Caenorhabditis elegans: one gene and its partner. The main gene of each other region encodes a partner of the protein of the gene in region 2 in a complex. Each region holds a gene or a part of one and is shown on either strand. Other genes may lie near its edges.

Region 1 (7,874 bases), on a different chromosome or scaffold from region 2:
GCTTAGATGCTGAAATTACCTGATTTTCATAACGAGACCGCTGAAAAAGTTTTGAGGTTTTCAAAATTCAACGTTTTGTGCGAAAATCTCGACTTTTTCACCAAAAAAAGTTGAATTTTGAAAACCTCAAAACTTTTTCAGCGGTCTCGTTATGAAAATCAGGTAGTCTCAGCATCTAAGCATCATATGTATCATGTTTCAGAAAAAGTTTAGGTTTTGTATTCCCGTAATCCATCATATTACAATGCCCACTTTCACCGCTGCTTGCCCACTGAATACATTATTTTTTTACTTGGAAATTGTTTTAGCATCTGCAAAAAATATTTATTTATCAGTTTTATTAAGAAAAAACGAAAAAAAATCGATGAAAAACAAAAGAAAACAGGCGGAAAACAATACAAGATAAATGGCCGCTGAAACTTGTCGGCCCCTCGGCCATGGCCTAGAAACCACTTTTCCTCGTCCCTCGTCAGGAAAAAAGTTGCAGTGTTTTTAGGTCAGATTCCTTCAATTTTCGCGATTTTTCCACTGAAAACTCGGGTGGGTGCTCACAAATGGAAAACGTTGATTGTGGGCATTTCGAGTGATGCATCACCACATTTGACGGATAATCGGAACTCGGTGTCGGCGGATTGAATGGGGTGACGTCGACGATAAATGTTCCGTGAAGATCGCCTCCGATCGATTCCAACAGTCGTTCCACTGATTTTGCCGTTTGTTCTGCTTCGAAAACCCATGTGACACCCATTTTTTGATGCGAAAAACTGGAAAATTGGAAATTTTCGGGTTACTGTAGCCCGATGAGTTGTTTGGCAAACCGGATCTTACGACAAATTGCAGAAAACGCCTTTTTCGTGAAATTGGACGAAAAAACTGGAAATTTTCGAGTTAATTTTGAAGAAAAAACTAGTTTTCACCAAGAAAACTGCAATTTTTGCAAAAATTTGGTTACGGTAGCCCCGTTTCTGTGCAAACACAAATAGGGGCACCAAATCTTACGACAAATTGCAGAAAACTTCTGAAAACATTGTCAGAAACGCAGGTATCAGCGCAAAATATCACATTTTCATTAGGCTAAGCGTAAAAATTAGCGGTTTTCTGCAATTTGTCGTCAGATTTGGTGTTTCGGCGCCGTGTTTGCACAGAATCGGAGCTACCGTAGCCCGGAGCTTGAAAAAAATCATTTTTAAGCTGATTTTTTAGCTAAAAACTAGAAATTCGCATCAACAATTGCTATTTTCCGTTTTTTCCAAAATTGCAATTTCCGGGTTACTGTAGCCCCAGTTGTTTGGCAAACACCTGATCTTACGACAAATTGCAGAAAACGCAGAAAAATTGAAATTTCTGTATTTTGTCGTGAAATCAGGGCCAGAATTTTCTTTTTTTACAGAAATTGAGGTTTTTTTAAGCTGAAATATTGAAAAATTTCGGTGGAAATCGAGAAAATTGGCCCCAAAAACTGAATTTTTGCGAAATTTCAATTTACGGGTTACTGTACAGTGCATTTTTTTTCCAACTTCTACGACTTTAAAGGCGCGCGCATTTATACAAAATGGTCCCGTCATTGGTCTCGCCATGCGCGTGGCGAGACCCATGTGCGAAAATGCGCGCGCCTTTAAAGTCGTAGAAGTTGGAAAAAAATGCACTGTAGTCCCGTCTCTATACAAACACACCGGATTTTACGACAAAATGCAGAAAATCTATTTTTCTGCATTTTGTCGTCGGATCTGGTGTCTTGGCGCTGTGTTTGCACAAAAGTGAGGCTACAGTAATCTCTGCATGCATTTTTTTGTAATTAAATTGACAAAAACTTTAATTTTTCGTTAAAAATACGAAATTTTTCATATTTTTCTAGATTTTTTAAAAGAAATAAATATAGTTATCGCTGAAAAAAAAACAGCTGTCAGAGTCAAAAATTGCAGGAAAAATTTTCAAAAAAAAAAAAAGGAATTTTCATAGAAAAATGTACAAAAAAACTTACAAAAAAAAGGAGAAGTACCAGTAAAAAGTCAATAAATTTAAAAAACCAATTAACAAATTTGATAAGAATACCAGTTTAAATGAGAAAAATTGGGAGAAACCGAGAGATTTTGAAGTTTTCGAGGAAGCAGAGAAACAGAGAAATTTAGAAAAAAACAAAAAAACATTTTTGCGAAAAAAAAATTAGAGACGCAGACGATGACGGAGAGATGATCAGTTGGCTGTTGGTGAGATGATCACTGAAAATTGGAAATAAATTTGAAGTTTTTAGCCCAAAAAAAATTGAAAATTTGGGCATAGCTTCCGCATCTCCAGTGACAAATGTGCTCTATTGCACCGAATTGTTGGTTGGAATACGGTATTTATTGCATATTTCAGCCGAGAATACCACTATTCAAACCATCAATTCGGATAGAGAAACACACAAGTCACAGAAATTTGAGTTTCGCGAAAAAAAAATACTCATTTTGCACAGAAAAATTTAATTTTCAGACGTTCAAAAAAAAATTTATTGGAATTTTGAGCATTAAAATCGAATTCCTCGCCATTTTCTTAGTCTAAACTCAAAATTTCAGCTCAAAATTCAGAAATAGGGTGAAATTCGGCGTTTGCGTATTTTTGGGGCTACAGTAACCCTCGATATTTCAAAATTCAGCTAGAAACCGCGAAATCTGAGAAAAAGGGCGTGAAAATTTAGGCGAAAATTTAGCGATTTTGACAAAGTTTTCAGGCTGAAAAATGGAAAATTTGGGCATAGCTTCCGCATCTCCGGTGACAAATGTGCTCTATTGCACAAATTGTTGGTTGGAATACGGTATTTATTGCATATTTCAGCCGAGAATACCACTATTCAAACCATCAATTCGGATAGAGAAACACACAAGTCACAGACAATATACAGGGAAATTTAGTTCAGTTACCGAGTTGCCGTATTAAAATTTATAGCATTCCTCGGTAACTGGGATAGAAAAACAAGCGGAAAAGCTTAAAGTTCTAATATTTTTAAACAAAAAATCATTTTTTACTAAGAGAATGACAATTTTCTAAAAATTGGGTTACTGTAGCCTACTTTATGTGCAAACACAACGAAAAATCGATATTTCTGCAATTTACCGTAAAATATGTTGCAAAATCCGAATTTTGTGAAAAAAATGCGGGTGCACTGCAAAAATGTTGAATTTTTGATTACTGTAGTGTGCCGACTATACACCGAATTCGACGACAAATTGCAGAAAAACTCTATTTTAGGCTAAAATTACGAAAACTATGGCATTGAAACTACCGTTTTTGATAATATTTTCTTCTTTTTTTCTGCATTTTTTTTTCTGCACATTGGCGTAAGATCTGGCGCCTGGGAGCGGTGTTTGCACAGAACTGGGGCTACAGTAACCAAAAACATTGAAAAATTAAGATTTTTGCGAAAATTAACCCGATAACACTGTTTTCAAAGCTGAAAATCAAAATTTTCCAAATAAAAATCCTGTTTTTGACTGGAAAAATTAGCTCTTTTTCAATTTTTGCGTGAAATTCATTAAAAATGTCAATTAAGAAAAAAATAGGAAAATTTGAATTTTCCGACATTTTCTCAAGAAAATTCGAAAAGTGATTTTTTTTTTCCAATTTTTTGTAAAAAATCGCAATTTTTCTGCAATTTTCCTCAAAAAACCCATACTTTTCCCCTCTTTTTTAGCTTTTCGAAGATCCTTCAACAATTTCTCGTACACCATAGCCAACATCTTTGGAATCGGCGTCAAACGTGTGCATTTCTCCGAGGAGCCATCGAAAACAAAGTGAAAAAGGAACAAATCGCCAATTTCCATTGTGAAACCTTCCGCAAATGGGCATTTCAGCTCGTAGGTGCCTGAAAATTGGGGGGATTTTTAGTTTTTAGTACATTTTTCTATGAAAATTCCTTTTTTTTTTTTGAACATTTTTCGTGCAATTTTTGACTCTGACAGCTGTTTTTTTTCAGCGATAACTATATTTATTTCTTTTAAAAAATCTAGAAAAATATGAAAAATTTCGTATTTTTAACGAAAAATTAAAGTTTTTGTCAATTTAATTACAAAAAAATGCATGCAGAGATTACTGTAGCCTCACTTTTGTGCAAACACAGCGCCAAGACACCCGATCCGACGACAAAATGCAGAAAAATAGATTTTCTGCATTTTGTCGTAAAATCTGGTGTGTTTGTATAGAGAAGGGACTTCTACGACTTTAAAGCCGCGCGCATTTTCGCACAATGGTCTCGCCACGCGCATCCCATTGATTTGTTGAGCGCGTGGCGAGACCAATGACGGGACCATTTTGTATAAATGCGCGCGCCTTTAAAGTCGTAGAAGTGAGAAAAAAAAATGCACTGTGGGAAAAATGCACTGGGGCCAATTTTCTCGATTTCCACCGAATTTTTTCAATATTTCAGCTTAAAAAAACCCCAATTTCTGTAAAAAAAAAAGAAAATTCTGGCCCTGATTTCACGACAAAATACAGCAATTTCAATTTTTCTGCGTTTTCTGCAATTTGTCGTGAGATCTGGTGTCTGCACAGAATCGGAATCGCTACAGTAACCCGAAATTTTGAATTTTAAGCGGAAAAAAAAGGATTTTTCCTCGAAATTTTGAGTGAAAATGACCATTTTCGGGGAACTTGTTGTGTTCAATCACGGCGGCTAGACGACACCCGATCCCACGAAAAAATGCAGAAAAGTTGGATTGTGGCTCATTTTCTGCATTTTGTCGTAAAATCCGGTGTCTGTGAGGCGGTGTGTTTGCACAGAATTGGGGCTACAGTAATCCGGAAATCAAACATTTCGCTAAAAATCTGTTTTTGGTGCAATTTTCACTAATTTCCACTTGAATTTTCAAATTTTCAGCTAAAAAAAGCTAAATTTCTGTCAAAAATTGAAACTTTTACGACAAAATGCGTAAAACTTCACTTTTGAGCGTTTTCTGCAATTTGTCGTGAGATCTGGTGTCTACACAGAATCGGGCCTACAGTAATCCGAAATTTTAAGTTATAAGCGAAAAAAAAAAGGATTTTTCCGCGTCTAGACACCAGATCTTACGACAAAATGCAGAAAAATCGGGTTTTTCTGCATTTTGTCGTAAGGTCTGGTGTTTGCTTTTAGTAACCAAAAACATCGTGAATTAGCCCGGAAACGCCGCTTTTTATGCTCAAAATCACATTTTTCATATAAAAATCCAGTTTTTTACTTGAAAAATTAGCACTATGTCATTTTTTAATGAAAAATCGAATTTGTGGTTACCGTATCCCTAAATCCGTGCAAAAACCGCATCAATGCACCGGATTTTACGACAAAATGCGGAAAAACGCGGTTCTACGTAATAATCGAATTTTTTCTGCATTTTGTCGTAAGATCCGATGCATTGGTGTGATGTTTGGGGCTACAGTAACCCAAAAATGACAATTTTTCGGCGTTTTCCGCACCAAAAATCGATAATTAAGTGGATTTTGCAGTTTTTCCGCAAAAAAAAAACCTACCCGTCTTATCTCGAATCTTGGGCGGTGTGATTGATTCCACAAATGCACAAATGATAGTTTCTCCGGTGCAGCGGCTCGCGATACTTGCACAATCGTCTCGATCGCACATTTTCTATGGATTTTCCGGTTTTTTGGGGTAAAAAATGGGTGAAAATAGGTAAAAAAAAGCCGGAATTTTAACCGATTTTGTGCGGAAAATAAGTGCAAAATTGTGAAAAAAAAACCCAATAATTAGTATTGACAAACACGTTTTCGAGAATAAAACCGAAAAAAAAACCAAAAAAAAAATCCCATTATTCCGTGCAATTTTCACGGGAAAAATAGCAATCTGGAAGTGCTGACGGTGGCAATTGATCCAATATTGATGAGTATCGATCCATATCTTCTGGATGATTTTGGAGCAGTTTTCGGAACATGATTGTCTGAATATTTCAGGTTTTTAGGCGAAAATTTAGTGATTTTGACAAAGTTTTCACGTGAAAAATTGAAAATTTGGGCATAGCTTCCGCATCTCCAGTGACAAATGTGCTCTATTGCACAAATTGTTGGTTGGAATACGGTATTTATTGCATGTTTCAGCCGAGAATACCACTATTCAAACCATCAATTCGGATAGAGAAACACACAAGTCACAGACAATATACAGGGAAATTCAGTTCAGTTGCCGAGTTGCCGTACTCAAAATTTATAGCATTCCTCGGTAACTGGGATGAAAAACGCCGAAAATGTTAGAAAAAAAAACGGATAAGCTTAGAAATTCAGATTTTCAACACAATTTTGAGAAAAATTAGCAAAATCCAAGCTAATCCTAGGTTTTCAACAAAAAATTGGAAATTAGGTAGAATTTTTCGGTTTTTACAGCTTTTTAATTTAAAAAACTTTTTTAAAGTTTAAAAAAAATTTACATTTTTGGAAAAAAAACTAGTCAAAATGTGTGAAATTTTTCAAATTTTTTGAAAAATGTCGTCAGAAAATTGATTTAAATTTAGAAAATGGACTAAAACTTTTTCTAAGCGTAGCAAAATCGGTCAAAGTATCCTAATTTGTTTAGATATTTGAAAAATTTTGAATTTTTTTTAATTCCTGAAAATTTCCAATTTTTCATTTTTTTGCAAAGGAGGCCAGAAATATCTGAAAACGGTATGGAAAATGGGTTTTCCGAATTTTTATCTAATTTTTGTTGACAAAATAATTTAATTTACATAAAAATCAACCTTTTTAATAAAATATTCACATTTCTAACAAAAGTTAGTAAAATATCAAATTTTTAGCGCATTTTTAGTAAAAATTAAGGCTCTAAAATGCCAATTAAAGTGGAAAATTATAAAAAATTCTGCATAAAACCGGTAAAATTTAACCAGAAATATCAAAATTTCAGCCAAAGTGGGAGCTTCCAAAATAAACTTTTTGGATCTAAAATTGAATGTTTTTTTTTCACTTTTTTTAACGCAAAATTCCGAATTTCCAGGCAATTTAGGGTTAAAATTTCCGATTTTCTCAGCTCATTTTTAGCGGAAAATCCCAAATTTCCACTCAAAACCCCGTACCACAAGACACGCAGGAGTCTGTGCATACGAATCCGACGTGTTCACTTTTTTCGGCATCACAAGTTCATGAGAATCGGCAATTTTTTTCCATTCAACAGCGTCATATCTTCCATTGATTAGCATAGCTTTGAACATAACGTGATTATCGATTGATATGACGTCATTTAGTGCTCGAGCCGAAGGACTATCATCTGCTCCGCCAGTGTATTTTAGAATTGGGCATCTGCAAAAAAAAAGGCGATTTTTGGTGAAAATTTTAAGTTTTTTGGCCAAAAATTTATGAAATTTGGCCCAATTTTGGCTTTTAAAAGGTGTTTTTCCTGAAAAATGAAAATTTGGGCATAGCTTCCGCATCCCCGGTGACAAATGTGCTCTATTGCACCGAATTGTTGGTTGGAATACGGTATTTATTGCATATTTCAGCCGAGAATACCACTATTCAAACCATCAATTCGGATAGAGAAACACACAAGTCACAGACAGTATTGGGAAATTCAGTTGCCAAGTTGCCGTATAATTTTGACCTACTTTGCGCAAAGTCTGAAAAGGTTGGGTCTCGCCACGAAAAAAAATTCGAATTTCCTTTAAAAATAAACAAAAAATACAAATTTTCCGATTTTCATGGGAAAAACATCGAAAAATTCAAAAATTTGCCGTTTTTTCCGTAAAAAACGGATTTTTTACCTGGAAAAAGCCACAAAAAATTCCGAAAAACAAGCGGAAAAGCTAAAAATTCTAATTTTCAGCAGGATTTTGATAAAAAATTAGAACAATCCAAGAAACCACTAGGTTTTCAACAAAAATTGGAAATTGAGCAGAATTTTTCAGTTTTTACAGCTTTAAAAA
Region 2 (7,724 bases):
GTCCAACGTGCGGTCTTGTGCTCTATAGGCACAATTTTGCGGCTCATTTCCGAATTCACACTGGCGAACAGCCGTATGGATGTGACTATTGTGGAAAGCGTTTTCGAACGACATCATCGTTAAAAGTGCACAAAAGAGCACATACTGGAGAGAAGCCGTATGTGTGTCCGAGTTGTGATTATCGAACGATAACGAAGAGGAATCTGGATCGACACATTGTTAATCATCATATTAGAAATGCGGTTATAAAAGGACCAATTATGAGAAGATCTAGGTCAGAAGAAAATTTCCAAATTTTTTGAGTCAATTTACAGTAATTAGATCAGAATTTAACTTTAAAAATGTTCAAAAAATTCATTTTGATGATCAAAAATTAGCTTTAAAACCCTTATTGGCCAAAAAAAATCGAAATTAGCCTTAAAAAAATGAAAATTGGCCTAAAAAATAAAAATCGTCCTGAAAAAATTTATATTGGCCTAAAAATCGCAAGTTGGCCAGAAAAATCGAAATTGGCCTAAAAAAATATAAATTTTCCTAAAAAATAAATATTGGCCTAAAAATAAAAATCGTCCTGAAAAAATTTAAATTGGCCTAAAAAATAATAATTGACTTAAAAAATCCTAATTGGCACAACAAATAAAAATCAGCTTAAAATAATGAAAAATTGGCTTTAAAAAAATATAAATTGGCTTAAAAATTCCAAATTTGCCTCAAAAATTTAAAATAGGCTTGAAAAATACAAAATTAAACCAAAAAATCTAAAATTGGCCTATAAAATCAAAATTGACTAAAAAAAAATTCAAATTGGCTTAAAAATTTCAAATTATCCTTTAAAAAACTAAATTGGCCAATAAAATCCAGTTGGCCTATAAAATCAAATTTCGCTTAAAAATTCCAAATTGGCCTAAAAAATTAAAATTGGCCCAAAAATCTAAATTGGCCTTAAAAATTCCAAATTGGCCTTAAAAAATCCAAATTGGCTTTAAAATTTCAAATTGGCCTTAAAAAACAAAATTGGCCTATAACATCGAAATTGGCCTAAAAATATCTAAATTGGCTTTAAAAATTTCAAAATTGGTCTAAAAACCTCAGTGGCCTGAAAAATTCCAAATTGGCCTAAATAAAAAAATTGGCTTTAAAAATTTCAAAATTGGTCTAAAAACCTCAGTGGCCTGAAAAATTCCAAATTGGCCTAAATAAAAAAATTGGCCTAAAAAAATCAAAATTGGCTTAAAAATCGCAAGTTGGCCAGAAAAATCAAAATTGGCTTTAAAATTTCAAATTGGCCTTAAAAAACAAAATTGGCCTAAAAAAATTAAATTGACCTATAAAATCAAAATTGGCTTTAAAATCAATATTAGCCTTAAAGAAATCAAAATAGACCTGAAAAATTCCAAATTGGCCTGAATAAAAAAATTGGCCTAAAAAAATCAAAATTGGCCTATAAAGGTTTATAAATTTTTTTTCGAAAAACCATTTTTTTCAGAACAATTCCTCGATATCACCCCGAAGACCAAGTCGAATCGATACCGACAACAATGAAGTACACTGTAAACGAGAAATCCGTTCGAGTATCCGTCGCGGCGACACGCCGACGGCAACTTCGAGAAGATCATACTTATATATCGGCTGCCGCCGCATCCACTTCAAATGAGCCTTATGTAGAAGAAGAGGAAGAGATTATAGAGGAAGCTCCAATTGGAGACGAAGATGATGAAGAAGAAGAAGTTTATGAATGAAAAATGTCACATTGCACCATTTGATTTTTTAAAAAATATTTTTTCTGAAATCATTATTATTTTCAGATTATTCACATGATTTTCCATACTTTGTTATTAGACTCGAAACTGTCTGAAAACAACGAATTTCATAGTGAAACTTTTTGAAAACTTCTCAAAAAAAAAGTTATGACGGTTCAAAAAATGACCCTAAATTAGTTAAAATTTGAAATTTGACCGTCTTGGAAACTAACTTTTTTGAAAAATCACCGTCTAATTTTGGCTATACAAGTTAATTATCTTGCGTTTTCAACTCGATTTAGGTACATTTAAATGGTTATCAATTCGCAAAATTTTTAGTAGAAGTTTTGGTAAATTTCGAAAATTTCCAAGTCAAAGAATCAAGTGAATAGCCAAATTTTGTGGTAATTTGCCACATTTTTTGGAATATCGCCAGTTTTTTTTTGTTGAAAAATTGCCACAAAAATTGAAAATATGCCAATTTTTTGATAAAATGCCCAATTTTTCAGTCAATGTTTTTTTTTTGAAAAATTGGCAAAAACAATTGAAAATATACCAATTTTTAGAAAATTGCATAACTTTTCAGTCAATGTTTTTTTTTTGCTCAATTGCCAATTTTTTTGAAAAACTTTCAAGTATTTGGTAAATTGCCAAATTTAAAGTTAAATTTCCAAAATGTTTCCCAAAATTAGACGGTGATTTCAAAAAAGTTAGTTTCCAGCCGCTCAAATTTCAAATTTCAACTAAGTCATTTTTGAGCCGCCATAACTTTTTTTTTTGAGAATTTTCCAAGAAGTTTCATTCTGAAATTCGGTGTTTTCAGGCAATTTCGACTAAACCAATGAAGAAAAATATTGGAAAAAACATGGTGCAATCGACCTACTTGAGCCGACATGCAAAAGTAATCACATTCTATTTTTTTTTTTCGAATTGTTCACATTTTTCCCTGAAAACCCCCACCCCTCTCGTACATGTAATATCATTTCACCGTAATCACCTCATACAAATGTCATTTTTTAATGATAATTCTCTGCTTTTTTTACCGCAATTGTGAATAAATTTCAATTTTTATGAAAAATAATTTTTATATGTTTTGCAAGTTTTTGTTTCAGGTCTTTACACCAGATTTATTTGATTTTTTAAAAAGATTTTTGGAAAAAAATTTTTTTTTTGAAATTTTTTAGGAGAAAAAATTGTGATTTTTTTCGAATCAAATTTTGAAGAAATTATTATACAATCATTAGAAATTTTAAAAAAAAATAATTTTTTTATTGGAATTTTTTTTTGAATTTTTTTCGAAATGTTTTTTTTTTTAATATTTTTTGTTGTTCAAAAGTTAATTTTTTTCCTAAAATTTAAACCACTTCCAAACCTAAAAATAACCATATTAACAAATCCAACAAAATTAAAAATATTTTAAATTTTCTCAAAAAATTTTGAAATTTTTTTGATTATTTTTCAAAAAAAAATTTTTTTAAATTTTTTTGGAAGAGCATTTTTACAAATAGGGGAAATACACAAAATATCATTTGCAAATGAGCACAAAACGTTTTAAAAAATTAATTAATACTTTCAGAAAAAAAAAAGTTTTTTTCTGAAAGTGTTTTGTAATGTCGAAATACTTAATAAAACATTTTTGGAAAAAATCTCAAATTTTCAATAAAAAATTTTTTTTTTGAAATGTTGAAAAAAAAAAATTTTTTTAACTTTTTGTGAACGCTCTCAACGCTCTCTCTCATTTTTTAAAACTGAAAAAAAAACATAATTTTAAGCTCAAATTCCCAATGAAAAGAGCCTTATTTGTGGCCGAGAAGAATGACGTGGCAAAGGGAGTCGCTGCGATTTTATCAAATGGAACAGCGAATCGACGAGAGGGGCGGAGCAAGTTTAACAAGATTTACACGTTGAATACCGAGCTTTTTGGACAGGTACCAGCAGTCATTTGGCTCTGAAATACCCAAAATAGTCTAAAATCCGCAAAAAATCACTATTTAATCAATTTTCGGTAAATAAGAACTGCGACCAATCAGCGATTTGCTCCGCCCACTTTTCAACCAATCAGGTGAAGTGGGCGGGGTTAGGAGGTGTTTGAAATACCCAAAATAATAGTCTTAATTCACCAAACGCCGCCCACTCCATCTGGTTGGTTGGAAAGTGGGCGGAGCGAATCGCGCTGATTGGTCGCAGGTTCAAAAAGTTGGATTTTTAAATTTTTCGCTATTTTTTTTCGGTTTTTTTGTGATTTATACGGAATTCGAGACTAGTTTGAGTATTTCTAAGCAAAAAATCACTATTTTTATCAATTTTCGGAAAATAAAAACCGCGACCAATCAGCGATTCGCTCCGCCCACTTTTCAACCAATCAGGGGTAGTGGGCGGGGTTAGGAGGTGTTTGAAATATCCAAAAATAGTCTTATATAAAGAAAAATCCACCAAACCCCGCCCACTCCATCTGATTGGTTGGAAAGTGGGCGGAGCGAATCGCGCTGATTGGTCGCAGGTTCAAAAAGTTGGATTTTTAAATTTTTCGCTATTTTTTTTCGGTTTTTTTGTGATTTATACGGAATTCGAGACTAGTTTGAGTATTTCTAAGCAAAAAATCACTATTTTTATCAATTTTCGGAAAATAAAAACCGCGACCAATCAGCGATTCGCTCCGCCCACTTTTCAACCAATCAGGGGTAGTGGGCGGGGTTAGGAGGTGTTTGAAATATCCAAAAATAGTCTTATATAAAGAAAAATCCACCAAACCCCGCCCACTCCATCTGATTGGTTGGAAAGTGGGCGGAGCGAATCGCGCTGATTGGTCGCAGGTTCAAAAAGTTGGATTTTTCAATTTTTCGCTATTTTTTTCGGTTTTTTTGTGATTTATACGGAATTTAAGACTATTTTGAGTATTTCTAAGCAAAAAAATCACTATTTTTATCAATTTTCGGAAAATAAAAACCGCGACCAATCAGCGATTCGCTCCGCCCACTTTTCAACCAATCAGGGGTAGTGGGCGGGGTTAGGAGGTGTTTGAAATATCCAAAAATAGTCTTATATAAAGAAAAATCCACCAAACCCCGCCCACTCCATCTGATTGGTTGGAAAGTGGGCGGAGCGAATCGCGCTGATTGGTCGCAGGTTCAAAAAGTTGGATTTTTCAATTTTTCGCTATTTTTTTTCGGTTTTTTTGTGATTTATACGGAATTCGAGACTAGTTTGAGTATTTCTAAGCAAGAAAAATCCTATTTTTGCAGCAAACCGCAATTTCGGTGACAAGTGTTTCGGGACATATGATGAATTTCCAATTTCACGAGAATATGTCGAATTGGCAAACGGCGTCGATGGTCGAGTTGTTTCGAGCTCCGGTTCGGCATGTTGTCACACCAGAGATGAAGCTCATCGAGCAGACATTAAGGTTAAATTTTACGGGGGGGGGGGGGAAGGCAGGCATAAAGTAGGCAGTCTTTTGTTGGCGCGTAGGCGCGTAGGTAGCCATAAGGTGAGCTTGTAGGCAGGTAGGTAGGCATGAGAAATGTATCTATTACTTGTAGGTTGGCGAAAAGGCGCGTAGGTAGGCAGGAGGTAGGCGTGTAGGCAGGTAAGCGTGGAGTAGGCGAGTAGGCGCGTAGGTAGGCAAGCATACGGTGGGCGTATAGGCGAACGTATACTAAGATTAAGGTATTGATGTAGGTGGGCATGATGTAGGCGTCTAGGCAGGCAAGCGTGGAGTAGGCGTGTAGGCGCGTAGGTAGGCATGAAGTAGGCGTGTAGGCAAGCGTGGAGTAGGCGCGTAGGCAGTCATAGATTAGGCGTGTAGGTGCGTAGGTAGGCATGAAGTAGGCGTGTAGGCGAAAATTTATACATGTAGATAGGCGTCTAGGCAGGCAGGCATAGAGTAGGCGTGTAGGTGCGTAGGTAGGCATGGTGTAGGCGCGTAGGTAGGCATGATGTAGGCGTCTAGGCAGGCAAGCATATAGTAGGCGTGCAGGCAAACTTATAGGAAGCTTAAGGTATACCTGAAGGTATACATGTAGGTAGGCATCTAGGCAGGCAAACATTGAGTAGGCGCGCAGGCGCGTAGGTAGGCATGAGGAAGGCGCGTAGGCAGGCAAGCATACGGTGGGCTTAAAGGCGAACGTATAGGAAGCTTAAGGTATTTTTGTAGGTAGACATGAAGTAGGTGGCTAGGTAGGCAAGCATTGAGTAGGCGCGTAGGTAGGTATGAGATAAGTGCGTAGGCAGGCAAGCATAGAGTAGGCGTGTAGACGCGGAGGTAGGCAAGCATACCGTGGGCGTTCTGGCAAACGAATAGTAAGCTTAAGGTATCGATGTAGATGGGCATGATGTAGGCGTGTAGGCAGGCAAGCATATAGGTTCTTTATAGAAATTTTTGGAACTTTTCAGAGAACAAGCCCAACGACACGATATCCTGGTAGTCTGGACAGATTGCGATCGAGAAGGTGAAGCAATTGGCGCTGAAATTGTTAAAGTTTGCAGAGATAGCAACCGGCGGCTGGATATTTTCAGAGCGAGGTAACACAAAACTCTGAGAATGCGTACTACACAACATATTTGACGCGCAAAATATAAAATTCCCAAATTTTATTATAGATTCTCCGAAATCACAAAAGCAGCCATCACACGAGCAGCTCGGAATCTCATCCGACTCGACGAGAAGACCGTTGCCGCAGTTGATTGTCGAAGTGAATTGGATCTTCGAATTGGATCCGCTTTTACAAGACTACAGACGTTGCATTTAAGGAATCGATTCAGAGATTTACTGGGGCAAAATGGTAGAGAAATTGGGAAATTTGCAAAAAAAAATAATTTTTGAAAAAAAAGTTTGGAAAAATACCAAAATTTGGGCAATTTACTGAAAGTTTGGAGGTTTTCCAAAAAAAAAAAATATTGCAGAAAAAATTGAAAATATACATTAAAATTTGACAGTTTCCAAAATTTTGGCGATTCCAAAAACTTGCCCAATTTACCAATTTTCTGGGGTAAAATTTGCCAATTTGCCGGAAATTTGCCAATTTTCTATAAAATTTTTTTTTTTTTTAATTAAAATATACCAGAAAAAAATGTGATTTATTAAAAATTTGGGAATTTATCAAACAAAGTTCCCAATTTTATGAAAATTGGATTTTTGGCGGAAAATTTAAATTTTTTTATTAATTTACCAGAATATTTGGCAATTTACCAAAATTTCGGCGGAAAATTTTAGCAAAGTACACAAAAAAAAATTTGGTATTTTTCTAGAATAATTTGAAAATTTCCCGTTTTTCTACTAAAAATTTTTTTCACGGATTTCTGGCTTCCCATGACTTGAAATGGAAGAGTTTTTGCCGAACTAGGCCAGGCCATATCTGGGGTAGATTTACGGCGCGCGTTGCGTGTCGCGTCGCGGCTCGATTGTAAAACTAAATGTATTTGTCCGTGTGGAGTCCGGCAGGCGATTGTCAATGGAGCGCGGAAAATGCAATAAGGAAGACCAGAACCCCGTGAAAATCACGGAAAGGCGTGTACTTCACACGGACAAATGCATTTAGTTTTACAATCGAGCCGCGACGCGACACGCAACGCGCGCCGTAAATCTACCCCAGATATGGCCTGGCCTAGTTCGGCAAAAACTCTTCCATTTCAGGGGAAATTTCCGTAGGGAAATTTTAGCAAATTACAAAAAAAAATTGGCAACTTACCACAAAATTTGGTATTTTTCTAGAAAAATTTGGAAATTTACCAATTTTTTTACTAAAATTTTTGGCAATTTATCAAAAATTTTAAATTTTTTTCCCTTGAAAAGTTTGGAAATTTGCCAAAACTTTTTCTGAAAATTTTGCAAATTTCCCAAATTTAAATAATTTTTTCAGACACATCCCAAGTGATCAGCTATGGCTCCTGTCAATTCCCAACACTCGGCTTTGTCACAGATCGTTATAAAATGATTGAGAACTTTGTGTCCGAACCATTCTGGAAGCTGATCGTGGAGCACACCCG

What was found. Proteins that work in one complex are often made in the same cells at the same time.
Region 1: top-3A (region 2) and rmif-2 share a complex: the UniProt entries of both Caenorhabditis elegans proteins name them as parts of the BTR double Holliday Junction dissolution complex.

Annotation. Positions count from the first base shown.
Region 1 is NC_003282.8:1,180,691-1,188,564, reverse strand, and holds rmif-2 (RecQ-mediated genome instability protein 2 homolog), read right to left. Parts: upstream 5,974-7,874; 5' UTR 5,904-5,973; coding exon of another isoform or gene 5,775-5,903; 5' UTR 5,591-5,774; coding exon 5,482-5,590; intron 5,368-5,481; exon of another isoform or gene 5,261-5,367; intron 4,776-5,260; exon of another isoform or gene 4,701-4,775; intron 3,842-4,700; coding exon 3,653-3,841; intron 2,220-3,652; coding exon 2,194-2,219; 3' UTR 1,940-2,193; downstream 1-1,939. Other genes in the region: mdt-20 (Mediator of RNA polymerase II transcription subunit 20), read right to left, coding at 553-748; Y104H12D.2 (DUF7930 domain-containing protein), read right to left, coding at 5,775-5,903, 7,029-7,251. UniProt on the Caenorhabditis elegans protein: Essential component of the RMI complex, a complex that plays an important role in the processing of homologous recombination intermediates.
Region 2 is NC_003281.10:11,955,968-11,963,691, reverse strand, and holds the start of top-3A (DNA topoisomerase 3), read left to right. Parts: upstream 1-3,511; 5' UTR 3,512-3,523; coding exon 3,524-3,667; intron 3,668-4,981; coding exon 4,982-5,142; intron 5,143-6,131; coding exon 6,132-6,260; intron 6,261-6,338; coding exon 6,339-6,520; intron 6,521-7,597; coding exon 7,598-7,724. Other genes in the region: Y56A3A.28 (C2H2-type domain-containing protein), read left to right, coding at 1-274, 1,487-1,739. UniProt on the Caenorhabditis elegans protein: Component of the BTR double Holliday Junction dissolution complex, which is involved in homologous recombination during meiotic double strand break in the germline.